Linked DNA regions of Canis lupus familiaris. The protein of the gene in region 3 purifies or fractionates together with the protein of the main gene of each other region. This does not show direct contact. Links are inferred from orthologs where the notes say so. Each region holds a gene or a part of one and is shown on either strand. Other genes may lie near its edges. The genes, in order: FAM117B, FAM53C, DYRK1B, PTGES3 and LZTS2.

The links.
Region 1: the proteins of DYRK1B (region 3) and FAM117B purify together in Homo sapiens (affinity purification with mass spectrometry; 3 studies listed by BioGRID and IntAct, counting the BioPlex papers as one, with this or other methods). This does not show direct contact. The link is inferred for Canis lupus familiaris from reciprocal best matches to the Homo sapiens genes DYRK1B and FAM117B.
Region 2: the proteins of DYRK1B (region 3) and FAM53C purify together in Homo sapiens (affinity purification with mass spectrometry; 3 studies listed by BioGRID and IntAct, counting the BioPlex papers as one, with this or other methods). This does not show direct contact. The link is inferred for Canis lupus familiaris from reciprocal best matches to the Homo sapiens genes DYRK1B and FAM53C.
Region 4: the proteins of DYRK1B (region 3) and PTGES3 purify together in Homo sapiens (affinity purification with mass spectrometry; 3 studies listed by BioGRID and IntAct, with this or other methods). This does not show direct contact. The link is inferred for Canis lupus familiaris from reciprocal best matches to the Homo sapiens genes DYRK1B and PTGES3.
Region 5: the proteins of DYRK1B (region 3) and LZTS2 purify together in Homo sapiens (affinity purification with mass spectrometry; 3 studies listed by BioGRID and IntAct, counting the BioPlex papers as one, with this or other methods). This does not show direct contact. The link is inferred for Canis lupus familiaris from reciprocal best matches to the Homo sapiens genes DYRK1B and LZTS2.

What each region holds. Positions count from the first base shown.
Region 1 is NC_049258.1:11,517,596-11,523,011, reverse strand, and holds the end of FAM117B (protein FAM117B), read right to left. Parts: intron 4,584-5,416; coding exon 4,265-4,583; 3' UTR 3,800-4,264; coding exon of another isoform or gene 3,721-3,799; 3' UTR 659-3,720; downstream 1-658.
Region 2 is NC_049232.1:25,988,374-25,994,524, reverse strand, and holds the start of FAM53C (protein FAM53C), read right to left. Parts: upstream 4,155-6,151; 5' UTR 3,841-4,154; intron 3,738-3,840; exon of another isoform or gene 3,386-3,737; intron 2,912-3,385; exon of another isoform or gene 2,894-2,911; intron 489-2,893; 5' UTR 337-488; coding exon 259-336; intron 1-258. Other genes in the region: SLBP2 (uncharacterized LOC474694), read right to left, coding at 4,689-4,817, 5,583-5,703, 5,847-5,999.
Region 3 is NC_049222.1:114,428,243-114,434,163, reverse strand, and holds the start of DYRK1B (dual specificity tyrosine-phosphorylation-regulated kinase 1B), read right to left. Parts: upstream 3,627-5,921; 5' UTR 3,470-3,626; intron 2,423-3,469; exon of another isoform or gene 2,389-2,422; intron 1,441-2,388; 5' UTR 1,340-1,440; coding exon 1,277-1,339; intron 242-1,276; coding exon 122-241; intron 34-121; coding exon 1-33. Other genes in the region: FBL (rRNA 2'-O-methyltransferase fibrillarin), read right to left, coding at 4,118-4,142, 4,252-4,397, 5,651-5,763.
Region 4 is NC_049231.1:1,242,313-1,247,728, reverse strand, and holds part of PTGES3 (prostaglandin E synthase 3), read left to right. Parts: intron 1-2,391; coding exon 2,392-2,505; intron 2,506-2,650; coding exon 2,651-2,720; intron 2,721-3,641; coding exon 3,642-3,740; intron 3,741-4,570; coding exon 4,571-4,660; intron 4,661-5,416. UniProt on the Homo sapiens protein: Cytosolic prostaglandin synthase that catalyzes the oxidoreduction of prostaglandin endoperoxide H2 (PGH2) to prostaglandin E2 (PGE2).
Region 5 is NC_049249.1:13,868,360-13,874,300, reverse strand, and holds the start of LZTS2 (leucine zipper putative tumor suppressor 2), read right to left. Parts: upstream 4,180-5,941; 5' UTR 4,023-4,179; intron 3,594-4,022; exon of another isoform or gene 3,072-3,593; intron 1,976-3,071; coding exon of another isoform or gene 884-1,975; intron 1-883. Other genes in the region: proline-rich protein HaeIII subfamily 1-like, read left to right, coding at 884-1,975. UniProt on the Homo sapiens protein: Negative regulator of katanin-mediated microtubule severing and release from the centrosome. Required for central spindle formation and the completion of cytokinesis.

The DNA.
Region 1 (5,416 bases), on a different chromosome or scaffold from region 3:
AAATATATATTCATTAGCTATCCCCAAATTCTAGTTAACCTCCACCCCAAAATAATTTTCGGAATTTTTTACAATGTAATTTGATGACTACTTTTTATAACTGATCTCTGTAGTGACTTTTTACTTCACTTAAAATGGTGTCCCTGCTTTCTATATGTTATATATATACTGCATGCAGCCTTCATTGGGGGCATATCTAACTAGCTCTGTTCTGTGAATACAGACAACCCCTGAGCCTAAACAACTACCTTGCACATATAAACCACTGTATATATGGAAGAACATGGCTGATTTAGAAAAAACGAATTACCAAAACAAAGGGAAAAAATCCTCTATTTGTACTTCAGGATAACATTAGGTGACTGTCCTAGCTAAATCTCTAACTATGAAGTAATGAATTATTTCTAAACATATATTATCTTTCAGTGTGCTTATCACTTACCACAAAGATCAAGTATTTTGCATTCTAGAGGAAGTAAAGAGACAGCAAGGAAGTAACAACTGACAATATTATATATCTTGCTACTTAACACACCCATTTTTCTATACATTTGTGAAAAAGAATATACTATCTTTAAATTATTTCAGGTGAGAAGTGTCTGAAAAGAAAATCCGAAATGAGGCAACAACATTCATAAAAGCACATGGAAAAAAAAACTCTCAAGAACAGACTTTATTTTTAACATAAAAGTTCTATTTTCTTGTGAGGCAGCAGTAAGTGTCAGATACAGGGAATACATAAGTACATAATAACAATATTTATCACCATTGGAAATGCTGTTTTTTGGGGGAGATTTTTGTTAGAAAAACAAAATTTAAAAAAATTGCATTTTCAAAAGATTTACACAGCTTAAACAGATGAAAGATACAGACTTCAAAAAAACATAAATTATATTCTTCAACAGGATTGTATAAACAAAATATTGTTCAGGGCTGCTCTGCTTATCATTAATTTAAGCAGAGTAAAACTTAAACCTTAAAGTGCGAAGTATCCTTAGCTTTTTTAATGCAAATTCAGCACTTCCACTGGTCCAGTTTTGAGACATCAAAATTCCAAGCATTAAGGAATGAATCTTAAGTTAGAATAGTAAGCTGAATTCAGTAATGGCGAGTTTTATTTCCTTTAACAGAAGAAAATCTTGACAACCCAGTCCTAATCTTGGACATACAGAAGGCTAGAAATTCTGCCATTTTTTAAAATATCTCTTTTCCGGTAAAAGCCAGCCATTAAAAAGAAAAGAAAAAAAAAAGGAAAAAAAAAAGCCTTTCTTCTTGCCAGTTATTCCACAGTTAGCAATAGCACCTTCTAAAAGGCTGATTTGGCTTATCATAAGTGTAAGAAATATTTTAAACAAAATGAAGACTCTAGTTCAAAATAATTTTGGCATCCATGCTCATCATATTAACCAAAGAGGCAGAACAGATATTTTAAAAATATAATTGCTAACAAAAGCCATGACAAGTAATAGACTTAGTCATAATCAGAAACAATAAATTTCTATGTTTTCATCATCATAAGGAAGAAATCAAGAGAAATAACTTAAGACAAAGTAAATAATCAGAGAATAGCTCCTTTTGCCAAAATATACATGCCACCTATTTCTTTTACTGCAATGGAAGTAAATTTATTTAAAACTTTAAAAAATTTAAATTATATTCCCATTGAAGCTATTCTAATTTATCTTCTGTACAGTTTTCTACAGAATAGCAAGATAATTATGGAATGTAATTTTAGAAAATATTCTCTTGAAAGTAGATCCATTTTTTTTTTTTTTTTAATCAGCCATCTGTGAACTAAGGGTTAAGCAAAAGAGCTGAATGGACCTATGGTTAATATTTTTTCAAGACTGCAATAAAGCTCATATGCTTAAAAATTAGCCCTTTGGCACTGGCAGTTAGAGTTGTTTGTACCTTGTACCTTTTTGTCTTTCAAATCTCAGGCTCTATTTCTCCCAAACCCGAGGGATATGTTTGGTTGCCATACAATTAATTTACCTGCAAATTCACATTCTCCTTACAACCAAACGTTTAAAAGTTCCACTTATAAGACTATGTAAATTATAACTTTTAAACTTGTTCTCCCATTCTAGTTTTAAATTACTTTAAGGATATAGGACACTCTACAGAAAGATGTGAATTATACAAATATGCACAACAGAGTAAAAGGAAAAACGGTTTATAAAGTGGCATTTTAGTTACAAAATACCCTTGTCATTTACAGGAATGGACAGAAGAAAGTAAGTGTAAGGTAAAGAAAAAACCCACAGATTTAATGGAATTCAAGTAATCCAAAAACTGAGGGTTTTTTTTTTTTTTTTTAGAAACTTGTTTAAACTTCCTCCTCCTACCATTCATACCAACTCACCTGATGAGTTTTACCTTTTCTTCTGCACTTTTGATAGAGCAGTTCTCAGTGGTGAAATGGTAAAGTCAAGACACATAATAACAAATAAGGCAAAGAATCAAGGTTCTTCTCAAAAAACCAACCAACCAGAAAATTTAGACCCTGAATAACTGAGTTTTAGTGATTTAGAAGCCACAATGTACTATAAATCCAAGTAAGCTAGTTTTGGATGGAGAAATTACCAAAATTCATCAGTGCTACCAAGTGAAACCTGACAAACTTATTCTAAGGTCTGAATTTATCTAATTTGCCTAAATACATCTCCATCTTAAACTTCACAGGGCATAATTTTAATTAGTTAGATGTTTTAAAGGTGCATGAATATAAGAAGTCCTTTCAGAAGATTTATTGCTACCACTAGGTTTCCTCTGATGGTATATGTCTGAACAAACTGACGTATTAACCTTCTAAACTGTATCCCTTTTACAAGTATTTAAATTTCTCCCTATATGTATAGGAATATTAAATTATTGCATCATAGGTAGTATATGAAGATCTTAGAAGGATGCTTTTTATCAATTACTGTTTGCTGAAACTCATTTTAAAAAAGAGCTGCTCCTTAATTTCACTACCATATACACAAACATGAAATACTGTTGTCATGTGATACTGGCAGTGACTGTATTAAGATGAGCCTAAACCCAAAACTGTATGGATTTTTCAAAGATTCCTGTTGTTTAATATGCTCCAAAGCTCTCCTGGCCGGTCTTCCCCACTGTGTGGAATGCTGGAGGGAAAACTAGCAAAATCTATAAGCAACATATCTCAGTGCCAACCACCATAAAGAAAATGTCAGTCGCAAGACTCTGTGACTACGGATTGCTATTCAATGGATTACACTCCTGGCAAACTACTAACCCTGACCAAATCCACAAGACAACAACATCACAAAAGCAAAGGAGGAAATCCATGCACAGTTATTTTAGGACCTCTTGGAACTATGATACAGTGATGATAAAGGGAGATCATGTGGCAAGTATTTTGTAAAAAACCAAGGGGGCTCCTTACTCCTAGCTAGCAATCAACACTGGGTAATTTCCTTTTGGCTCACTGACTTTTAAACCAAGTTCCAATGACGGGTGAGAACATATTAAAGCACTTGTTTCCAGACTATAACTTTTCTGACCACATGGTGAAATGTGTACAGGTGTAGTGAAGAAAACAGCAGTTTTACAAGTATTTCACCCAAAGCACAAACTTCTGACACCAAAAAACATAAATCACATAATGTACTAATATTTAATATTGCTTTTTATCTCATTATATATTTGTCCAATGCATTTACCTATCAATTCTTGTTTGGGAGAAGAACATAGTCATGAGATTAAGATTGCTGGGAAAATGTCAACAATCCCTTTGGTCCCAAAGCTGAAAACAGCTGAGAAAAGCACACATCTAGAAAGGGAAACAAGAAACAAGAGGCCACCAAAGAATCTTTGAACATCCTGTTTGCTACGTTTCAGAAAATGTAACATTGGTATTATAAAATAGTCATTTTCATATAAAAGATGGTTCTTGCAGCATCATTCATGTCTCCCTTCAGGAATTAGGTTTGCAGAGATTAGTTTTTTTTTAAAAAAGAAGTTTAATTTGAAAACAAAAAAACAATGATATTGGCCCTCCAAAAGTAAAGAGTGAGACCTTTCTTGTTTCAACCAGTGCTTTAAGAAAAAGCAGGCTAAGCAATGAGGGAGCAAAGCCATCAGAGGGCGCTGCCTTCTTCCAGAAGTCATACTGTGACGTGTCACCCTGGAAAGCTGGAGCATACCACAGCCAACTGGGAGCTCGCGATGCCATCACAATGAAATGATCTGAGGAGGTTCTCAGTTGCCCAGAAAAATGGCCACACAGCCCTGTGACCTATCCTTCAGCTTCCTCAATTGGTTCTGGTGGTGGGAGTAGAGAGGCCGATGGCATGACTGTACTCGTTCCTCGAGAGACTCGGTCTTGCTCTGTGTTTGTGGACAGGGAGGCCACAGCAATAGGCTGCAGCAGAGTGGTTGTCATGCCAGTGGTAACTGTCAGACTGTGACCAGAGCCCTTGAGGGTAAGATCTGGTGTGGGAAGGAGTGGCTTGAGGATGCTGACGAGGCAGAAGGCAGAGCCGCTTTTAGGAATGAAATTCACCTTGTTTTTGTCAGGACAGTAAAAGGCTGGGATTTCGTGAAGCTGTTTTGGCCTAGGCACAGAACAGACAACCCAGAAGTTTTAAGTCACAGAACAATGAAGTTAAGTTCTTTTATTATTTTTTTTCTAAACAGATAACTTAGAGATACATGAATATAAAACTCAGATTATATCAAAAGCTTCAAATGCTCTAGGCCAAATTGGAATTAGACACATAATTCAAAATATATATCTTAGAATGCCAAAAGGACATCATACGTCTTTGCTGCTTTCAATTCCCTGGAGAGCCTCATGCACCATACAGGTGACTCAGGCTGGTGACCACTGCATCTCACTGAGGTCTAAGACACCCATTATAAAGAACTTCCTAAAGCAAAAGAAATTCTACATGTTTAAAGACAAAAATATGTTCCACTTACTACAGTTTTTCCAAAGCCTGTACTATTTTGAAGGGAGAAGGCAAGTCTTTTGCTAAATTCCATGACTGCACGAAAAAACTTTGGTAGGCATGAGTTATCTCTTCAAGTGTGCTTAAAAATCTCTTTGACTGAAACTTTTTTTTTTTTAGTTAACCATGATGGTTTTCTGAGAAACATAACAGAAATGTAAAATCAAAATAAAAATAATGGTGTTCTATGAAAATAAAGATATTAAAAAATTAAATTGTTAAAGTAACATGGAAGTGCCACAAAATTAAAAAGAAATTAAGGTGGGAGAGCCTAAGTAAATCAAGATTCAAGTGGGAAAAGGCAATATGATTCAAGATTCAAGTGGGAAAAGGCAGTATGATTATATGATAAAAGTACGGTGCTCAGCTCTCCTAATGAAATTCAAAAAATTAAAATTTAAGTGTGCCAAGTCTGCAACAGATTCTGGGGACCCAAA
Region 2 (6,151 bases), on a different chromosome or scaffold from region 3:
TCCCAAAGTTAGTGAGTAAAATAATCCACATCTCCCAACATCTCAAACCCTTCTCCACCCCAGTTTTGGTGTCCCTTCTCTACCAGTGGAAAAGTACCTGCCCCCTTCCTTTTGGGCTGGGTTTGAGCCTTTACTGGGCTTTTCCAGTACAAGTACAATGACTCATATGACACAGGACATGGGTAGAGTAGTAGCAACAAACAGCCTCAGAAAAAAGGGGGAGGGGGTTGTAGAGAAGCAGGAAGACTGGTCTTTTACCAGACTGATGCTGAAGCGTGTGCATTTCAGCTCATCCAGAGTCTGTTTCTGTAGCTGCTCAGTGATCAGGGTTATCATGATTCTCCCCAGGATCTGACTTGCACACTTTGGAGCAAATGATGGATGTCTTCCCTGTCGTTCTTCCAGACCTCACTCGTGGGCCGTCTTCTGCCACTGCAGCACCATCCTAGCACCATTGGGACTTCCCTCTCCAGTCATGCCTGCTGAGTCTGCCAATTACAGAGGGACCAGCCCCAAGTGATATTAGAGATGTACCTGGCCCAAAGGTAGAAAATGCATGGCACACATACCACAGCATCCCTATGCCAGGCCTCTGGCAGACATCATTAATTGATCACAGCTCTTTCCTACTAAGCCTAAACACAGCCTTGGAAACATCCTGAACTTGACACTTTAGTTAACCAGTAAAACGAACTAGAGTAAGCAAGCAAGTTGAGACCTAATTGCCACCCCTAACCTGGTTCATGCTGGGCTTTGCCTACCCAGAGTACCAGCACCACTTAAAAAACAGCTCAAGTGAGAGAGGGATATCCAAATGGTTACTTTCATCCTGATTCCCCCAATACTTTATCTTCCAATCAGAATCAGAGAGGTAACCATTTCCCTAAACTACATTAAAAGGAACAGGGAACAGCAAGGAGAACTGGTTGTAGGAATGACTTTCTGCTTCAGATCAATCAGAGTAAACAAGGTTTTATGTTCTCCCTAAGCTTCAGTGTTTGATATATTATTGTTTTCCAACAGATACTGTAAATATTCTCTCTAAAAGGGTTAAGAAGATAGAGAAATGGTACCAGGATTTTTCCAATTACATTTCAACTCTATACATGTTAAAAACACCAACTGTATGACTTCATTCAACTAAGTTTTTAGCCTGATCTTACTCAAAGACCATGGATTCAATTAATCAAGGCTCCTTCCCATGGTCAAGTTCAGTATAAGCAAACTAATTCCATCAGAGAACAGGCTTCAAGCCCACACAATTGCCTGAGGGGCCTTGCTCAATGGAGGAGGGGAGGATAACCTAGTGTTTCCATATGGTTCCGCCTATTCCCAGAAATGACCAGCAGGCAGACAGCTCATCAGAAGGTGTATGTAGCATTCTCCAGTAGATATAACAAACATTCAAGAAATCTACGTCTTGTGTTAATTTGCTGGGACAGTTCTGGGAAATCACTGGAGTTTTCTTGGCCTTAGTTAACCTACATGTAAAATGGGCAGAATAAATGTCTTAATGTGTCATGGGTACAATATAATGTGAAATATCAAAGTGTAAAAAGCATACCATCTAACCTGCACAAATCAGGAGTCCACATAGACTGTTTCTCAAACTCTCCTGTTTGTTGCTCTACACAGCCTAAGAATGCCACATGTGATAATATCATTAATCTGAAGAGGACAATTGGGTTTATCTATTTGGCTGGATGCCAACCTCCCTCACCTGAACACCCAGGGAAGCCCCAAACAGCTCTTCTGTGACCTTGGAGGTAGAGTACTTTCTACTTTTGCAAAAAGAGGGAATCATCTCTACCCCGTTCCACCTTGGAGAGAAGTAAGTAAAGAAAAGCAAAGAACTACGTGTTGATGTATCTGCAGTTTTTTGGAAGCTGTGGGAGAAATCAACCATCATTACAGTTAACTATCATTTTCATGCATAATTATTATTACCACCCTCAAAGAAGTTCTAGCTTCCTGAGAGCTCCCTTCAGCGGCTTCCCCTATGATCTTGTGGGAAAAGCTAAAGCTTATATCACATTGCTCTTGGTTTCTTAACTCTGCCCCCAAAAGATCAACTAGAGAGGGACCCTAACTGCAGGCTTTTACCCCAGAGATCCCAGGCCTCAGGCTCACCAGCCATGAAGAGCAGGGAGTGAAGCAAAGTCTTTCAAGCTTTTCATGAGGCATTTGGCCAAACAGCAAACTCCCAGCCCTCTCTGGGATCAAGTGAAGAGAGTGATTTTGTGTTTTTCTGCATTTTAATTGTTGGGATGTGGCCACACACGGCGGTAATTGGAACAATGCAACTACCACCACGCAACTGATACTCTCAGCCTGAGTTTCCTAAAACAGGCCAGGCTGAGAGGGGGAACAGAACGGAAGCCATAAGGAATCAAACCAGGACACAAAAGAAGGCAAACCAGCTCCGCGAGGGGCCTCCTCTTTCTCAGGCAGGCATAGAAAAAAGTGTAAGAAACCCTCTCTTGCCGCCTTCCTTCCCCTTCCATTTTGTGTATCTGAGGGGCAGAGACAGCCCTGAATGTTCACTAAACAAGTTAAAACTTCTCAGCTTAACAACTGGCACAGGGCTCAGCCCTTCACAGAGCAGCAGGCCGCTAGGCCCTCCCTACGACCCCACCAGGCCCAACTCTCAATCCAGGCTTTCCCTCCACCAACAGCCCCCTAAAATAAAGACTGGACCCCCACCCCATCTACTATTGGATGGTAGTAACCCCTGACGTTGGGGTTTCAGGGATGCTAAGGTTGTGCTGAAACCTGGAGAACCCAGGATCAAATCAAGCCAAGAGGGAGGAGAGTCACAAATCCCCTGGGGACCCTCCCCCCAGGTCCCAGCCCCACACCTCTGGGGGACACTAAAGAAAAACATGAGGGAGGCAGGGAGGTACATGAACAGGTAAGTGGGGAACTGACTGCTCTTCCTCCATATGGCTCTGGCGGGGATAGGGGTGACAAGTGGGGAGCACCCCTCCCCCCACCCCGATGAAGAAGCAAAAGGCTAGGCCCCCCTCCAGTCTTCAACCTCTCCCTCGGTTGCCCTGCCTGTCCCCGCGGGGTGGGGCATGGGGCGTCCGCTAGCCCCTAGGGGGGCACCAGGGCTCGCTCAGGGGGGCTGTCTTTCGCCTCTTCCCAATCAGCTTCCATCATCTGGCCGCGGGAAGCGAACTCAGGACGCAGGAGATGGAAAGGGTCTGGGACTTAGCACTCCACCAACCCCTCCCCCACCGGGTCCCGTGCTCTCCCCGTGGAGGCGTCCAGAGAGGCCGTGCCGCGCGCGCCGCCGGGCTGGGGGAAGGGAAAGAGGGAAGGAGGGAGGGACAGTCGAGGTGCCCGCCCCGAGGCCCCAGCGCCACCTGCCCTCGCCACCTACCGCGGCTCCTCCAGCTCCCTGGGCCGCGGCCGGAGCAGCTCTGAGCGCTCCGTTCGCCCCACGGTGCCCTTAAAAGGCGCCGGCGCGAACCAACGGGCCCCGAAGGAGAGTGGGGGAATCGCTCTGGTTCGCAGAATCGCCCTGAACCGCCCGGGGAGGCTCGAACCCCGCGTCGCTTCTCTCCCAAAATCTTTTTTGGAAAGTGCTGTCGGGAATGAGCCAAGCTCTTTGATTTAGGGATGAAGGTGGCTTCTTCACTATCGAGTCACCCCCTCCAAAATATTGCTGAAGGTGGACGGACCCAGTTGGCGGCACAGCTCCAAACCCGCGGGGGAGACCGTGTCGGACGAAGGTAAACAAAGCGATTCTCCTCGCCCTCCATTCCAACATTGGCCCTAGTACGGCCCCCTACCCGGTTCGGGCCGCGTAACAGAAATAGCCAGAGTTGCTCTTACCTGCTCTCTCCTCCCGCCCTCTACGGGCACCTCTCAGAAGGAATCCCCCTTCCGCCAGCAGAGGACCGGCCCGCGGCGTGAAGACTTCTGGGAAATGTAGTCCAAGAGCCGATCAGGGCCTGCTCTGAGTCCCGGGAGCCCCTCTTCCAGCTGCCGGATACCCTCCAACCTTATAAACCCAGGACTTGTAACGGTTGCGGGGCCGTTCCCAATTGATTCTGTAATTAGCCCTCACCCAAAACACTTTGTAAAGCTGAAAAGGGCCCAGGGCTGCTCACTCCTCCTCCTTCCTCTACGCACCCCCACCCCCCAGCAGGATGAGGTAATGGGGTTGTGATTATGACATCATAGGCGGTTCAGTTGCTTGCGGGGGTGGGCGGGGGAGGGGGGGGAGTATGGTGGTTACAGCTGGACCACTTTCCTTAAGACAGAAAGGGAGGGAGGAAGGAAACAGGCAGCTGGGTAAAAGATGTTGATAGCTTTGTATTTCCTCTTCAGGAAGAGGATGCCACCCTTTATTAAATTTCCACCACTACCATCACCTCCCACCTCAGCCAAAGTTTAAGTCTTTTTTGAGAAGCCTGAATGTAGACGTTAGTAGGGAGGAGGTTGGGGAACAGCAAAATGGTTACTGGCTCTTATGTAAATTTGAGGCTCAGCTATCAAAGAAGGTTTAGAAAAGCAGGCAGAAATGGAAAAAGAAGTTTTAAACAATGCTTTCGTGTTGTGATCTCTTTGTAGGGCAGTTTTAGATTTTTTTTTTTTTAATCCATTGGGAAGTAGCAGTAATGCAGGTAATCTTTACTGTTACACTTAGCAACACGTCCCTTGAAAGACATATGCTTTCTCTAAATATTTTGTGCCTCATTCAAATCTGGGACAGGTATGTAACTGTGATCAGCTAGAAAGTAGAACCAGTGGTGTTCTTCCTCATAGAGCCAGGGAAAGGAGTAGGCAGGAGGTACCAAGTCTGCAAACTGAAAAAGAAGAGTAGAGGCAGAGTGAGCTACTTATGAAGAAAATGGGGGTGGAAGGAAGATGCACTGCACATTTCCTTTCCTTGCACATTTCTCCTTGGCAAAAGAGGGGACAGGGGCCATGAAGTGGGGAGACCTAGTTTCCAATAATTGCTGTTGTGGAGCACTTATTATGTGCCAGGCACCGTGCTACATACTTTAATATGTATTCTTATTTTTTGCTTAGAATCATCAAATGAGACAAATCTCCCTATTTGACAGTTGAAATGGTTGGAGAGATGAAGTGATTGTCCATGTGGTGGACAAAGGTAATATTATAAAGCAGTCCTGAGGCTCTAAAGCCCTTGGTCTTCATTCCACTTGGTAATCCTTGTTTTTATTATCAACCATACTTTATTAAAGTTCAGTGACTGAGAATAAGAAGTAAAGTTAGCATTGGCTCATTTGCAAAATATTGAAATAAAAGGAGACATTAAAAAAGCCATATCAGGTTTCAAGGCCTCAATTCCAAGAAATATTGTACTCCTTTCATCAAGTATAAAATAACCCCCAATGCAGCCCAATTTCCCACCATTGTTAACTACAATTAAATGTCCTTATGCCACCTTTTTCTTAGATATTTTAATTCATGTCCTATTTTTTCTTGCTGCCCAATTTTTCTTCTTTTGTTTTTCGACTACTACCTTGAATCCCATCCTAATTGTTACCTTGTGGGCCAGACCCTACTCTAACCCTGCTCCAATGGGTTTTAGAAAAGGATACTACCTGGGCTCCCTTCTGGTCTTCATTCAGATTCACTGATGGTTCCAGGGCCTGGAACCAGTCATCCAGGAGGTCATCCGTAGGTGTGGAACCCATTGGCTCTAAGAGATGCTCCATTCCCTGGCTGGGAAAGTGGCAGAGTCAGAGGAATATGCACCTCTTTCAGACTATCCCTTTTCAGCCAGAAAAAGCTAAACCTCTGCAAAGTGAGGAGAGGTAGGGCTCAGTCCACCACTCCTAACAAGGAACCAAGAATAATACACACACCCCTCGGACCTCCTGCCTTTCGGGGGCTGGCTGGGGGGATCCCAGGAATGCAGGGCTCTTCTCCACTGCCTGATCTGGGCATCCCAGGAGCGGCGGCTGTACCTCCTCTTCTTGTTTGGTGTTTGAGGGTGAAGTCCTGGCTGTCGCTTTGCCCTGGCGATGGCAAATAAGTGTCAGACTCAGGCCAAAATAAAGGGGCACAGTGCATTGTTTATCACAGTGAATTCAGAGATTCATTAGGGATTTCCTGAGAGTAAGGTAAGACCAGTGTCCTCAATTCAATGGGAAAAAAATAAATCTTCAGA
Region 3 (5,921 bases):
CTGGGCCCGCCGCTTCTTCTTCGCATAGTATACCTGCCCAGCCAGCCAGAAGATAAGGATTGCTGAGTGCCCTGTGCCAGCTGCCAGGACCCCTCAGCACCTGGTTGGGTCCCCCGCCCACCTCATTGATGTGCTTGTAGGTCTTGATGAGGTCCACGGAGAGCTTGCGCAGCGGGGCTGAGGTCGCGTCCCGGAAGGCCAGGGGCAGCCTCCGTGGCAACAGCCGCACATCAGGCAATACCTGCGGGGTGAGGCAGGGCGGGGGGGGGGGGGGGGGTGCGGCATGGCACTGAGGATAGGCCTTTACCTCTAACAGACAACCTTAGGGAGAACTCTCTGGGTGGCCGGGTCATTGTCACCATATACACATTTTACTTGATCACTGTGTGACAACCCAACAGGAACAGAAATTCCCCAAGGGCAGAGACTGTCTTGTTCTTGCTGTATCTGCAGTGCCAAGTAGCGTTTGGCACATAGTGGGTGGTCATCAGAGATTTGCTGAGTGAATGAATGGTGAACTATTTTCTCCTGACCTTTCATCCTACACCTTTACTCCTTTCTGAACCTCCGTGGGAGAGATCAGATAGAAAACATAGGCTCTGCCCTTCCCAGTCCACCATCATTCTGGGTGTCCCATCTTGAGGGCTGCCATCTTGCTTTACCCTTATCCTGTGGTATCTTCCTATCCTTCACCCCCAACTCTGCACATTTTGCCCCAGTCTTTTGGGAGCCAGCACCTTGGCACCTCCTACTCCATCCTGCTTCAAGCTCTACATTTCAGAGCCCTGACAGTCTCCACCCCTGAATATCTTTACTCTGTAGTGTAAGATGCTGCTGGCTCCAGGATCCTTTGGACTCAGACTTCTCCCCCTTGCACCCCAACTGCCCATCTTTCACTCTGGACCTTTTTTCCTTAGTGAACATTTACTGGGTGTTTCCTAGGTGCCAGGCACTATTCTCAGCATTTTACATGCATTTCATTAACTTGCTTAACCTCACAACTATCCTGCGAGGTAGTTATCATTCTTGGCTTCATTTTAAGAGAAAGAAAACTGAAGCAGGTAGAACCTAAGTAATTTAACCCTGTGTCAGGATTTGAACCCAGGCTATCCAAACAGTCTCTGCCACCAACTTCTCTATTATCTTCCACTCCAGATGGGCTTTTCATGGCCCCAGGAGACTGCTCTGGGCAACCAAATAATCTTTTGGCCCCAAGACCCTTCTATCCCCAGCCTCCCCCTACCCCAGGCATGTGAGGAGCCAGCTGAACGCATACCTGCGTGTGCTCCTGGGGCCCCGGGAAGCCAGAGAAGGGACCATGGCCCGGTGGGACGGCCATGGTGGGCTCAGAGGGCCGCAGGGGAGCGAGGCCTGGAGCGGGAGCCCGGCCGGGGGGCGCCTTCTCGCATCCTGCACCTCGGCTGCCACCGCCGCTGAGACCTGAGAGCAGGCGGGAGGCAGGGGAACAACATGGAACAAGAAGATGTGTGGGACAGGGACAGGTGGGAAAGAGGTGGACACCAGAGAGAAGGTAGGGCATAGGGAGAGGAGAAAAAGGACAACAGGTGGCAATGAAGAAAGGGGACAGTGAAAAATGGTGGGGTGGGGGTGGGGGCACAGCAGAGTCCCTCAACAAATGATTACCAAATAAATGAAGTAGGTGGCACAAAGAGGGGAACATGTGAAAGGGAATGATTGGAAGCCAGGCAGGGATAAAGGCCATGACAAGAAAGGACAAAAAGACACCAATAATTGGGGTGAGAAAGAGAAGAAAGATAGAAACCACAGACAGTATAGGTTTGCTTCCCATTTCTATTTATGGCCCTCCCCAGGGCCCCCTCACACCAGATCCTGCCCTCCTGCAGTCTTCCCTGATTGTCAGGATCACCTCTTATCACAGCAAGGTCCTTTCACTTCAAGATCTACCCTTCCCAGTAGATCCTAGAGAAGTCTAGGATTCCCCTCCCCCCAAACCACAAGAGAACTCTGGGCCCCCTCCACACCCATAGCAGAGTCTTCTGCAGGCCCCTAAAACCACATCAGGGTCCTGGAGAGCATACCAAGGTTACCCTGTTATACAGAGTTGTCCCTATATAAAAAATTCCTACCCCTATGGCATTCTCATCCATCAGGGCACCCCCTTCCCAGGGGACCCTCCCCATATCATGCCAAGACCTTATCCTTATACCATTTCCTCTCACATCAGGGACCCTCCCCACCAGATAGTTTCTTTGTGCCACAAAAGGGCTCTTCCCCATATTAGTCCGTGGTCCCCCTCCCAATCAAGGCTCACTTCTTCTGATGGGAGCAAGGAGGAGCCGTCTCTTCCCTCGCCCTTCTCTCCCCTACACTGTATCTTTCCCTCCTCCCCCCATCCAATATTCCTACCAGGGCTCTTTCTCCAGTTACTCCTCTCTACACCAGGGTCAATCCACACCTGTGCCATTCCTAGAAGGCCCCCAGAAACCAAAATCCCCGAATATCACATAGAGTTCTCCCCTCCCAGAGTACCTGCCACACCAAAATCCTCTCCCCACAGGCCTTCTCCCATGTCAATCCCTTTCTCCTATGCCAAGCCTTGCCACTCCACGATCCCTCCTCTCTCTCGGAGCTCCCCCGCCCCTCACCCGAAACAACCTCTTCCCTGGGGCCCTCCCACAGCAGGACCGTCTCTCCCAGCACCCACCCCCTACCCGGGTCAGGGCTGGCGCGGGGCCCACGGGGGGCTGGGGCGCGGTGGGGCCCCCAGTGGGGTGGGCGAGCGGCCAGCATGGCGGCGGTGGCGGCAGAGAGGAGACGGCCGCCTGTCCCGGCCCGGCCGGCCCGGCAAGCCCCGCGGCGGGGAGGGCAAGCGGGACAGGCGGCCGGGTGGGTGACAACAGCAGCCGCCGCCGCCGGGGGCGGGGAGAGGAGGGAACGAGGGTCAGCCCGGGGCACGCGGGGGAAGGGGAAAGCAGGTGGACGGGGGAGGGGCGGGTTAACCCTCGCCCCGCCGGCCCCGCCCCGCGCAGCCACCCGCCCCTGGGGACCCAGGCGTCCCGCCCCCCACCCTGGAGGCCCGCCCCGGTCGGCGGAGCCCGGCGGGCGGGGCCGGCCTGAGCTTGGCAGTCCGCACCTGCCATGGCAACAACCGTGCCATTGGCCGCTGCTGCCAAGAGCTCAGCCAATCGCAGCTCAGAACAGCTGTTGCTAGGCGACGACGATGCAGCCGGAGGAGCCGAGCCCAAACAAAGGGCGGGAGCCGGGCCCCGCTACCCCCTCCCAGCCGCCCTCCCAAGGCTGCTCCCTCGGGCTCGGCCACTTCCTAGAATCCGACTATGAATAGCCAGGCACGGCCTGCACCTGCCCGCCGCCCCCCTGCTCTGCTCCCTCGGCCTCGTGCTAAGTCTCGCGGCGACGCGGGCAGGGCGGGCCCGTACTGCCCCCTCCCCGCGAGCTCGTGCCGCCCCACCTGTAGCCGCGTTGTTACCTGAGGGCGCGGGCAAGGGGACTCAAGCTGCTCGGGAAGCCCGAGCTCAGACCTGCCCACTGGCTGAAGGTATCCGACGGACGCGGCGAGCCAGGGCCCGATTACCCAGTAATGCAACCAGCAAAATGGCGACCACAACAAACCGGCCCCCCCCGCCCCGGGCTCCGCCCCCACCCCCCCCATTCGCTTCCCCCACGTGACCCAAGGTAACATTCTGCGCCTGCGCGCAGCAGGGTCTACCGGCAGACATGCACCGTAAGCTATCAGCCCCGCCCAGGCGCCGGAAGCCGGGTTACGGCTGCGCAAAAAGCAGCCAAGGGAGAAGCATGCGCACGAGGGACCGGATGAGCTGGTCCACCCCCACCACCGCGCCAGTTGAAAAACGGCGCATGCGCACCGTTGAACGGAGGTCTCTGATCAGCATACAGGAGCGATGATGAATTTTTTTTTTTTCCTAAATAGGTTTCACGCCCAAGGAGCCCAAGGCCGGGTTGAATTCACGACCCTAAGGTCAAAACCTAAGCTGAGATCAAGAGGCCCAGGCTTAAGTGACAGAGCCACCCAGGTGCCCCTGGATGAGTCTTTTAATAGAAAAACACGTGTAACAGTAGCAACACAAATCTCTGGTAATCCAGATGGCGCCGGGCTTCAATTCTTCACCTTGGGAGGTGGCCTGTGAGAGGAAGGAGATAGAAGATTCAGAGCTTGTCACCATTTGGGGCACTCCTTCCAAGTGCTGACTGGCAGGGCTCTGTCCAGGTGGGCTGCCGGCCCCTGCTCACCTGTACACACCCACCACTACAGCGTGGTCTCTTTCGTAGGGCTCTAAGGTCAATTGCTCTTGGGGCTTCATGTTCTCCTGCTGCATCTTCTTCACCTCAGAGGCAAACACAGCCTCAGCAGAGGCTGTGGAGTCAATGCAGTTGGCCTGCAGAAGAATTTGAATTTTATAAGCAAAGCACTGGACTGTTTTCCTTTTTGTTGCTCTTTAAAAAAAAAAAAAAAAAAAGATTTTTTTTTAAATTATTGGAAACTCAGTGAAACTCAGGTTTTGGAAATGTAGGGAAAGACTTCATTAGAGAAGTTTTCAATTTGGTTTGGATTTGGAACAGGAAGGCTTCAACAGAGACTGTCTTAAAGCTGGTGTTTAAATTTTACACCCAGGTTTTTGTGTTTGTTTTTTCTACTTCCTCTTCTTTAACAATAGTAACAATGCTGAGAATACTGAAACAAATGGAGCAAAAGGCTAACAAATGGTGAATCTGGCTGAAGATCTTTTTTTTTTTTTTAAAACAAACACATCTTAGGGACACTTTATTGACCTGATGGTGTTTTGTTTTGTTTTGTTTTTTTTAATTTTTATTTATTTATGATAGTCACACAGAGAGAGAGAGAGAGAGAGGCAGAGACACAGGCAGAGGGAGAAGCAGGCTCCATGCACCGGGAGCCCGACGTGGGATTCGATCCCGGGTCTCCAGGATCGCGCCCTGGGCCAAAGGCAGGCGCTAAACCGCTGCGCCACCCAGGGATCCCTGGCTGAAGATCTTTAAATAAAACGTTTTTGAAAATGCATCTAGTATTCATCTAAAATTTTATACAAGGCTCTAGTCTAAACACTTTATATTGATAAATTTAATCATTGCATCAACACTAAAAGAGATACGACTAATATTCCTACTTGACAAGTAAAACAAACACAGGTTGGGTAACTTGCTCAGAGAACAAGCTGGAATTCAAACTTAAATGGTCAAGGGCAGCCGGGGTGGCTCAGAGGTTTAGTGCTGCCTTCAGCCTGCAGCGTGATCTTGGAGACCTGGGATCGAGTCCCACGTCAGGCTCCCAGCATGAAGCCTGCTTCTCCCTCTGCCTGTGTCTCTGCCTCTCTCTCTCTCTGTGTCTTGTGATAAATAAAATCTTTAAAAACAAAAAACCTTAAATGGTCAGACTCGGCCATCATGGACTTGACCACTACATTCTATTGGCTATTTAAACTCAAAGCCTTTTAGTTTTGTAGACATTTTTCACCAAGTGCTATTTGACAGGGCAGGGAAATGCAGGGTAGAGCCTGGGAATAGACTAGACTAGGAGAATGGAGGCCCTGGCCCCTTTGTTTTGACTAGCTGCTTGGCAGTTACAGAGAAAATACTACCACCCCATCTTAGACTCCTCCAAGCCCCGCACCTTAATGGAAATCACAAAGTGTCCTCCGTTACGAAGGAAGGTGTGGGCATTCAGGGCTACAATCCGGGTCTGGTCTGGCTGGGCCACGTCGGCAAAGATCACGTCCACCATTGCTAGGGAGAAATAAGTGGCACTTACAAGCTGGATCCACCAGATATTCCCAGCTCCTCCCGTGAGGCCTGTGCCCCATTACCAGAAGGTTTCTGGCATAGTCTTCCCTGCTTCCAGTCTCACTTCCCCCCGTTGATTCCCCCTTTCCCTCCACTGGACC
Region 4 (5,416 bases), on a different chromosome or scaffold from region 3:
CAGGATCACGCCCTAGGCTGAAGGTGGTGTTAAACCGCTGAGCCACCCGGGCTGCCCTCTCGAGCACTTCTTAAACATAGGACTATATGGTCACTTCAATTTGAAAATCAAGAACCAGGGCACCTAGGTGGCTCAGTGGTTGAGCATCTGCCATCGGATCAGGTTGCAATCTGGGGGTCCTGGAATCGAGTTCTGAATCGGGCTCCCTGCGGGGAGCCTGCTTCTCCTTTTGACTATGTCTCTGCCTTCTTTTTTTGTCAAGAATAAATAAAATCTTAATAGAAAAGTAAAATAAAATCTTGAAAAAATACATTTAAAAAATCTATGAACCTAAAACCAGTAAGTTTTCATTATTAGCAAATATTTTCTGTTAAAGACCAACAGGTTACCACATATTGAGAGTGCCATTTTGGTAAGAAATGAGCTAAAAATAATGTGACCTATTCATAAAACTCCTAACTTGTTTGTTAGCTGTATTAACATACTGACATTAAAAGTGATTCCTTAGTCCAAAAGAAGTTTGGTTAGACTTCAGATCCATGTAAAAATCTATTTGTTTTTTAAATTTGTTGATAGATGCCTAAAGAAATAGCTTTACCCTTGCTGCTTGGCTAGTATTTAGACTTTGAAAACTGCCATCCATAGTTTTTAACCTCCTTTGGATCTGATATCAATATCCCAGAGTGGAATATGACTAGTCAAGTTTAACAGTTGTGTAAAAACACTGATGAGCACTTGGTTGCAACTTGTTTATTTATAGGGACTTTAAACTGCTACTCCTTAGGGTTGGGAATTTCAGAGCTTTGAAACTAATTCCTTTCGTTTGAGTTTTTATCTTATGTGTAGTGCTAGAACATACGATAATTAAGTTTTTTAACTTCGAGGATTACAGAAGAGTCCAAAAAATTAAAAAAATATAATAATAAAAATTCCTGTATAGCCAGCCTATAACTTTAACTTTTACATTATCACCAGAACATGCTTATTTTTAGGAAATAAGTGAAACCATTGAAAATCATGTGGTTCTGCTTCCTTTCCCTCATTGTCTTTCTGGTTCATTCTATGGAGCAAATGCTGTTCGGGTGTGTATGTGTGTGAATTTTACTAGGAATTTTTATGCATATGAGGATATTTGTCTAAAGATTACAAAGAACAGTTTTGGGGCACTTGGGTGGCTCAGTCAGTTAAGCATCTGCCATTTGCTCAGGTCATGATCCTGGGGTCCTAGGATTGACCACCACATTGGGCTTCCTGCTCAGTGGGGGAGTCTGCTTCTCCCTCCCTCTCCCTCTGTGCCTCCCCCTCCTGCTCTCTCTTGCTCACTTGCTTTCTTATTTATTTGGAAAATAAATAAAGACCTTTTTAAGAGAAAAACTGTAAAGGAACGATTTTTTTTTTAACTTAAGAATTGGGGGTGAGGTTACTTATGGGTGGCTTAGCTGTTGAGTGTCTGCCTTTGGCTCAGGGTGTAATCCCAGAGTGTTGGGATCAAGTCCATGTCAGGCTCCTGCTTCTCCCTCTCCCTATGTCTCTGCCTTCTCTCTGTTTCTCATGAATAAATAAAATCCTTTTTTTAGAATAAGATTTTTTAAAAGATAATAGTCCAGGTTCTTTCCAGTATAGTATCTATTGGATACATGTGTAGAAGAATAGAAGACTGTAAAAAAGCTTAATTCTTTAATGTCATTAAAGTTAGGAAAATTTGTCCCCAGAAAATGGTTGCCTGATATAGTCAGAAATAAGCTACAGATGAGAACTTTTTTGAAAACACTGTCAAAAAAAAAAAAAGAAAGAAAAAAAAGAAAGCACTGTCAATTCTACCATCATCTCCCCTACCCTCTCCCTAGTTCTGGCATTATAAGTAGAAATGTTTCTGAATTTCAGTTGACAGTGGATTAGTTCTGATGGTTTTTTTTGTTTTTGTTTGTTTGTTTTTTAGGAGCAAGACTAAAGGTATATGGCACATAAATTTTGACAGGGCAATGTAATGGTTAACCCTATTGTATGTTGTTTCATTTTATAATTCTTTCCTTTTTTTTTTTTCATTTTTTAATTCTTTCCTATTGTGAAATCAGTATCATTGTGTTTTAACTTGGAATGCAGCTGTTAAAGAGTAAAGATGTAGTTTCCATTTGAAATTATAGTTAACTGCCTCAAGGGACACCTGGGTGGCTCGGTCAGTTAAGTGTCAGGGTCTTTGAAACCAGATTCAGTCTTGATCCTCAGGGTTGGCAGTTCAAGCCCCTATTTAAAATAATAATAATCTGCCTCAAAATAATCAGTGTTCTAGTGGAGTAGAGAAACGTTACTTATATGCCAAACTCTGGAGGTTATGTAAATACTCAGTTAATGAATTCCAGCTTAACTTTGTCTAATTTTATCTCTTTGTAGGCAGCCTGCTTCTGCAAAGTGGTACGATCGAAGGGACTACGTCTTCATTGAATTTTGTGTTGAAGACAGTAAAGATGTTAATGTAAATTTTGAAAAATCCAAACTTACATTCAGGTAAATTACCATTTTACATCATTGGGTAATAAGTTTGTGTCAGACAACTGAGTAACTTTGGCTAGCTTGTTTTGTGTTTTTACTGAAAATAATACTAATCTTTATCTCTTTGAAGAGGCTCATTTTTTTTTTTTTTTTTACACAGTTGTCTTGGAGGAAGTGATAATTTTAAACATTTAAATGAAATTGATCTTTTTCACTGTATTGATCCAAATGTAAGTAGTCTTGATGCTTTAATTCCAATTTATATGTGAGGAAATGGGCATACATCAAGTACTCTTTTTAGCAGTAAGCAGTAATTGTTTTTCTTAATAGTTCAGAGGTTATGGGACGCCTGAGTGGCTCAGGTTGAATGTTGAGTGGCTGCCTCCAGCCCAGGGTGTGATCCTGGAGTCCTGGGATCGAGTCCCACATTGGGCTCCCTGCAAGGAGTCTGCTTCTCCCTCTGTGTCTCTGCCTCTCTCTCTCTCTCTCTCTGTCTCTCATGAATAAATAAATAAAATATAAAAAATAAAAAAGTTCAGAGGTTAACTAGGCGTATTTATATTTTTGCAATATTTCCCTCTGCAACTGCCTCTCTGCATACTCTTTCTTTTGTTCTTGCTATCACTGTTTGGACTTAGGGCAATATTCTTGAGGTTTGTCTTAATCTAACTTTATAGAATCTTTAAATTATTCTATGATTGTATTATATTTGGTTAATTTTTTTTTTTTAATTTTATTTATTTATGATAGTCACACACAGAGAAAGAGAGAGAGGCAGAGACACAGGCAGAGGGAGAAGCAGGCTCCATGCACCGGGAGCCCGACATGGGATTTGATCCCGTGTCTCCAGGATCGTGCCCTGGGCCAAAGGCAGGCGCCAAACCGCTGCGCCACCCAGGGATCCCATATATTTGGTTAATTTTTTTAAGGTTTTTGTTTTATTCACTTTGTACAGGGAGGGAAAAGTTATTTTTTGCAATTTGCATAGCTACTGAATTTTTAGTAATCTAGGAGATGTTTCTTTAAAGTTGAGAAAACGTAGGGAAAGAAATTAGAAAGGAAAGTTGAGGAATGACAAGCTATTTTCTATTCTACAGTGATACTGGAGAGAAATGATGTGATGGTGCTTTTGTTTTTGTTTTCGTTTTTAGGATTCCAAGCATAAAAGAACGGACAGATCAATTTTATGTTGTTTACGAAAAGGTGAATCTGGCCAGTCATGGCCAAGGTTAACAAAAGAAAGGGCAAAGGTATGTTTCTTTTTTGGGAGGGAAAAATTGAACATTTTTAAGTAATGAAAGACACATTTGGCATGAGGAATAAAATGTTTGTTTCAGAGTTAAGTGGTATTAAAGTCTTGTGTTCTATATGTTTTTCCTTTCTTTGAGTTTTATTAGTTTTAACTTAAAACCAAATGTGGTCAGAATAAGGTCAGTCCCTAGTTGATGCAGAATCTTTTGCTGAATTCAAGAGGCAGATTTTTCTTAGGCTGGCTGGCTTTATTTATTTATTTATTTATTTATTTATTTATTTATTTATTATTCATTCATTCATTCATTCATTCATTCATTCATTCATTCATTCATTCTTAGGCTTTATTAGTTACTTATGTATCACATGGGAACATATTTTGTGCTGCAAAAAAAGTCCGTTGTATCTGAGAAGAGTTCCTACCAATGAATTTTGTTGTATTTATTTTTTAAGTAGGCTCCACACCCAGTGTGAAGCCCAGTGTGGGGCTTGAACTCACAACCCTGAGATAAAGACCTGAGCCAAAATCAAGAATCAGAGGCTTAACTGACTGGGCCATTCAGGTGTCCCTCTCCCCCCCCCTTTTTTTAAATTATGATTAAGAACTGTGAGAGAAGCTTTGTGAAACTATCTTGACTATTAATTGCATTTTACTTCATTCTGATTTTTTTGTAATCTATTATTTTTTTTGTTAATTTTTTGTCTTTTTTGTTAATTCCATGCCTCATTAGTATGAACCTACAGTCCCAAAAATATTGTTTAAGGTACATACATACATACCTGTACGTATAAGTTAACCTAATTACAAGATGTTTGTATTGATCTATAGCTTAATTGGCTTAGTGTGGACTTCAATAATTGGAAAGACTGGGAAGATGATTCAGATGAAGACATGTCTAATTTTGATCGTTTCTCTGAGGTAAGTTCCTATAAGCGCATTTTACCACCTCTCAGTACATTTCTATGTGAATTTAATTTGGTTTTAAAGCACCTTAGTGGTACTTAAGACCTAATTTTTTTTTTACTTTAAAGGTCATTCTGCAGCAAAACAAAGTAAGATCTTAACAATGATCATTTTATCCTAAAGTTTAACATTCTTTTATAATTCTTTTAAAAATTAGTGGTAAGTTCTAAACTTGTATACAGACAAAAATAAACCGTATTGTCAATGCAAATATAACTAGTTTTGGGGGGTGGGGTGTTGGTTTGTTTGTTTTTACAGCCAGTTGTTATTCTAGTATTGAAACGGATTTTTTTTTTTTAATTTTATTTATTTAGAGAGAGAGAGAGAGAGAGAGAGAGAATGGCTGGGACACAGGCAGAGGGAGAAGCAGGCTCCATGCAGGGAACCCGACATGGGACGCGATCCCCGGATCTCCAGGATCACACCCCAGGCTGTAGGCGGTGCTAAACCGCTGCGCCACCGGGGCTGCCCTGATTTTTTTTTTTTTTTTTTTTGAGCATGGATTACTTTGCATTTTAGAGCCATGTAATATGAATATAAACTTTAAACAGAAAAATGGTAGTGAGATGTGCATGATGAGTGGTGTGTAAGGATGTTTTAGTTCGCAAAATTAAGGATTAAAGTAAGCCTTTTTTTTCCAAGATGTCATCCAAATACATATTGCATGGCCAAAGGGGGGGGAAAATCATTGATCTCCCTTTAGGTAGACTA
Region 5 (5,941 bases), on a different chromosome or scaffold from region 3:
AATGTGTGGTGTATGAGCGCAACTGAGACTATCTTTGGATAGATGTGCTCAAATAGACATAGGTCTATATGTAAACTCACTTATCTCTTACATGAGCGTAGGAACAAGGAAGTGAGTGTGCACAAGTGTGTACAGAGGAGTGTGTGTGAACAGAGCATGTGTGAGAGTGGGTGGGAGCCTGGGTGGCAAGCAGGGCCAACTGGGTGAGCAGGAGCCTGGTTCTTGTCACTTACTGGAGTGCGGGGAAAGGAGAGACACATTATCTGACTCCTTTGCCTGTCCCCCTTTACTCTCACTTGGATTCCACCAGGCCCACCCTCCACCTCCCCACTCAAGTCAAAGGACCCTGAAACCAGGAAGGCGTCCAGACTGAGGGTTGAGGAGCTGGGGGGGTGGGAGCTGGGGGTGAACAGAGCCCACCCACCAAATGCCAGCCTTGAGCTAAGCAGATGGCACATCCCCTCTGCTGCCCTCTTCCACACCACTCCAGGGCATGGAGAAAGCTGGGGGGAAGGGGCTTCCTGGGGGCAGTGGAGGCTGGCACCTCTGCATTTGCCCACTTCAGTGAGCACCAAGAAAGTGAGAAGTAAGGGGAGGAGACAGACACTCAGAGAAAGACAGGGACCCAAAAGACCAGAGACAAAGGCTCAGAGAGGCCCTGGGGTCAGGCAGACAAGGAGGCAGGCTGACCCAGGGACTGGGTCCCTGAATCCCACGGAGCCAGGGGCCCCTAAACCCACAAGAGAGATAAATACTGGGCCCTGAGAGCCAGACACACAGGGAGCCAGAGCCAGGCCTCTGGAAAGGCAGGCCCAGCCGGCCAGGCTCCAAGAGCGGGAGCCTGAGAGAGAAGGAGGGGCAAGTGGAGGCTCCATTTTGAGAAATGCGCTGTGGCTCTGGGAAAGGGAACCCCTGGCCCTCCCCAGCACCCCCCGAGTGGTCACGGGGGCCCAGCACACACACGCACTCCCCCTTGGTGGGCCCGGGGGCAGCTGGGGGCAGCTGGGCGCTGGGTGCTGCTGGGGCCCGCGCAGGTCTGGCCAAGCTGAACTCCCACAGACCTGTTTTGGGGGGTGAAGAGTTGGGGAAAGTCTCCCCCACCAAACTCCAAGGACCAGTCAGGCGGGATCAAGTCCGGGATGACGAGTTCCCATTCCCCCAGGAAGCCGGGACCCCCAACGCCCCCTCCGGGCCTCCCCCCTCTCCCCGCTCCTCCGCCTCCCCACCGGCCCTCCGCCGCGCCGAAGTTGGGGGCGCCCCCGGGTCGCCTCCCAGCCCTGGCCCCCCCTCACCTCCGCCGCGCCGCTCCATGCTCGGCCCGGGCCGCCCCCAGCGCTCCACAGGCGCGCCGCCCGGCTCCGGCCCGCGCGCGGCCACTCGGAGGCGCCCGGCCCGGCCCGGCCCGGCCCCGCCTCCGCGGCGCCCCCGGCCCGACCGGCCCCCGTCCGGCCCGAGTGGGCGGCGCAGCGCGGGGGAGGGGTCCGAGGGGCGTCCCCGCCCCGGCGCGGACACGCGCAGCACCCCGCGTCACGCGGGGCCGCGCCGCGGGCCTCGGGACCCCCCACGCCCGGTGGGCTCGGGGACTCGGCGGCGGCGGCGGGTCACCCTCCACCCCTACCCGGGCCCCGGGGCCAGCGGCAGCTGGTCATTGTTCCAGCACAAAGGGCCCGGCGCCACGGCGGCCGCCCTTCCCCCTCCGCTCCTCCGGTCGAAGCCTCCCCCGCAAGACACACTCCGGCTTCGGAGTCCCGAGCGGGGCGCGGAGGGCCGGCCCCCCCACCCGCCCCGGCCGCCGGGCCCCTGCTCCCCAGGGCCGGGTCGCGGACCCGGGCTCGGGCCGTGCCTGCCCCACCCCCAGCGGTGGAGGGAGGCAGATTCGGATTTGCGGAGGCGGCGCCACCAGGCGGCGCGTTCGCAGGATACACCGCCACCCCAGCAACTTTGGGGGCCCCTACCGGACTGCCCAGCACTGTAGCCTGCCCCCCGCGAGCCCAGGCCTGCCTCGCGCGCGGCCGTCTGCTCCCCAACCTTCCCTGAGAATCATTTGCTAAGAGAGGTCACTGCTGGGAGAGAGGCAGCCCCTGGCCCCCTGACAATCACTGGGGTGAGGCGGTCCAAACCTACAGTCAGAACCTACACCAGTCCCACAGCTGACAACATCCCTCGGTCTTCTCAGGGTCACAGAGAGTCTCACCCTCTCGCAAACAACACAATCTTCCTAACACCCACACGACTTTTCCCACATTCGGTCCCACGCAGCCACAATCACAGTCTCCTCCATCACGTGATTCCAGGTTCCTTCCTTCCATAATCTTTCAGGCCAACTTACACACAGACACACTGGGTGTCACACACCTTGTGCACAATCTTTCACAAGGACTCAGAGTCCTTCCTACCGAGTCACAATCTTAAATGGGCTTCCTCTCCTAAACATCTTTAACACATTGGTGGTCTCATTCAGTCAGACAACTTACACATACCCATGGTGTTTCACGAGCATTTTTTACCACAAAGACTTTTTTCCCCCCTGAGGGGTCTCTGGTCAGGTCAGCTGATGCCCACACCCCCAGCCAAGGACAGGCCTCCCACCCCCTACTTGCATCCCCACCCCCAAGGCCAAGGCCTGCCAGAGCTCCTCTGCCCCAGGAAGGAGCATCCCCCCCTTCCAGGCCACAGCCCTGGCCAGCTCTCAGCTCTATTTTTAGCTCTATGGAAAGGGTTGTTTTTCTTTCTTTTTCCCTGGAAAGGGAGGCATAGCCCAACCACCCTCAGGCTCACCCCAGACCCTGAGCCACATAAGAATAGACTGAGCCCCCCTCCCCAGTAGAGACCCCCTCCTCTGGCCTTGCCCTGATCCCAGCCTCTTGGGGCACCAGGAGCCTCCTCCCCTTTCTGGCAGCCAGCCCGGAAGCTCAGGCAGCAGCTGGGCTCAGCGTGTGTGTAGGGGTGGAGGGTGGGGCAGAGAGGGAGGCGAGGGCCGCTGCCCACTCCCTCATTCCCTGGGGGAGGGGGCTCATCCTCCCTTCTAGGGGAGGGGGATAGGCCCACTCCCGTACTTCGAGGACATTTACCTTTATGCATTCTCTGGGAAAGGAGGACTCCCACTCTCGCACGAGTGGGTTTTCGGCTCCTACAGTTGAAGGGAGGAGCTCCCAGTTCTGCAAGGAGGGGTGGTGGTAGGAAAGGGACCCACCGGCTCTCAGGCAGCTGCTCCCCAGACTGGAGGTATGGGGCCGGAGCTGCCGTATACTGCCACCCGAAATAGCGCCCTCCTCCGATACCTTCCGGGATGAGGGCCCCACGAACGTGTTCGTTCGGGTGAAGGAAGGCAAGGAGCCCAGGTAACCCCACCGAGCCCAAGAGTCTCCAGGCCTGCGCTACCCGGACTCCAGGGGGCGTTGTGCTCCCATTTCAGGGGGAAGGCTTAACATTTCTTGAGGCGGAGAATGGAATACGGCCCGACAGGAGACCTCGGAGACTCGCCCAGGGTTGGGGAGGGAGGTCCTCGCCCTGATGCGGGGGCGAGGGAAGCACAGCCCACTCGTCTGCGAAGCGATCACGTGCTCGGCGCCTGTTTACGTCTTAGTCTTCACCTGTGGGCGGCCAGGAAGCAGGAACCTCCGGAGGTGTCCCACCCGGCCCGCCCCCGTCGGCGGTCACCGGGCAGCCCCTTCTCCCACCCCTGCCAAGTACGGGACAGCAGAGCACCCTGTCAGCTGGGGCTCCGTGCGGGCCAGTGGCGCCGCTCCAGGGACTGCAAGGGTAACCCACTGGGCGCGTCCTCTCCTGAGTGCACGTGTGTCCTATGTGCGTGGGTCTCGGCGCGCGCGCGTGTGCACCCACTGGCGTGAGTTTCCGTGTCGGTTCCCTGTTCAGGCTCCTCGCCTGCGGGCCCCCCGGACCCCAGTGTGGGACCCTCTCCTCACTCCACCCCCTAGCTTCCCCAGACCGGGAAAGTTCGCTCCCGACCCGGCATGTGCGGGAGGCCGGAGTGCCCACACCTCCGCGGCCCCACCACTCACCCAGGCCACCTGCGCCGCCGCTGCCGCTGCCGCTGCCGCTCCCGCCCAGCTCCTGCCCGAGCGCCGGCACCTCTCCGCCGCAGATCTGCCGGCTCCCAGCCAGCTCCGGGCTCCGGACTCCCGGCGCCCGCCGGGCCCGGCCTGGTGGAACGGGGCGGGGCGGGGCGGCTGAGGCCGCGCCCCCGACCCAGGGAGGGGAGTGGTCTGCCCAGCACCCCCTCTACGGCGGACCCGGTACCCAGCCCAGCAGTAGCTCGGTGGTGGCCAGGTTGCCCCTCTGGCCTCCGACTTCACAGCTTTCTGGATTTGGTTTTCGACTTGGGGAAAGGGGCGAACAGCACGTGACCGGGAGCTAAACTACCTGGCCGGCCTAACCAAGTTGACGATAGGACTTTACTGCCACCTGCCCTACCCTGTAAGGAGCCAAACCGGGTCGGCTCTCAGCTCATTCCCCAGGAACAAGGAAAACCCCTAGGAAGCAGACAAAGAAGGCTCGGGTTTCACTAAAACAGACCCCGCCCCACCCTCTGGTCGGAATTGCCCTAGCAGAGCCAGCCCCTTCCCCCCTCCCCGCAGTAGGTGCCTACCCAGGTGAGCATACTTGCCAGTTCTGGCCCCCCACAGAGCATGGCCAGGCTTCCCTTACACTCATAAAGTTCCACCCACAGGCACAAACAGGAAGTTGCCCTGTATTGCAGGAAGGCACCTAGGGCTCCATCTGTGGCACCCGAGGCAGCCTGTGGGAAGGCACAGACTGTCATCTACAGGTATCTGAGCCTTACTTGCAGCAAGAGTATCTGCACAGGAGGAGTCCAGTGAATTTAATCTCTTCTCCAACTCACCTGCAGTAAAGAAGCGACTGGAAAGCTGAAAAAACGACACTAAATCTGAAGACACGGCTGAAGATCCAGCTGGACCCAGCTGGGCCAGGCCCTTCCTAAACTCTCAGGGTGATTAATATCCGATTGGAAAAAGAGCCCGGGTAATTTGCCTCAATCCACTCTGGTTGGGTACAGGGACAGTGGCTACCAGGGACCTTATTCCGGACCCAGGGATCCCCTACTGCTTTCTAGGCTCCAGGGACTTCTAGACATACTTTTGGCTAATCTTGATGTGAGTTTAAGACAGGTGTGCAATGGAATGTGTGTGTACGGGGTGGGGTTGGGGGAGTGTCAATTTCCCCTCTCCCATCATTCGGATTTGTGCTTTGTGTGTGTGTGTGTGGGGGGGGGATGTCTGCTAGGAGGGTGGAGCAAGACAGGCAAGTGCGTATCTATCCTTCTATCCCCAATTCACAGAGACCTCACAAAAGTCCCCTAATGGAAATAGCTAAAGGATTTTCTGAGAACACACCAGGCCTTCCAGTAGACCAGAATCCTTAGAGGTAGGAATGACCTGGTGGTGTACATCTGGAAGGCATGGCTGACATTCAATGTTACAGACCCTGGATGAGGCATAGACCAGCCAGCGGCTGGGAATGATTACTGCAGGATTAGGAGGCCTGGCTCCAGCCAGTCTGGGAGAGACCCCCAAGAAGGGAGGCCCTGGAGGAACTACCCCCTCCCTCCACCCCAGGTTCTTCCCCCAGAGAACAGCTTTGTTCCAGGGTCTGTTTCAGGAGATAATTGTAGTCAGTCCTCACAACAGACCAGAGACCCCAGAGCCTTCTACAGGGCCCCAGAGGCAGCCCTCTTAGGTAGACCAGAGAATTTAAGGCAGCAGGAAACCTCCTCTGCCCATCCTTACAAAAGCCTTCTCCCCAGCCTCCTCACAACATTTTGCATTCTGACCATTCTTGCATGCAAATCTAAAGGGAAAATGGGACTTTAGGATATCAGAGTAAGTGAGATGGGAAAAGTGTCTCCCTTGGGACTATTTCTGAGTAGGTCTCTAACTTTACAATCTCCTTCAGTAGTTGT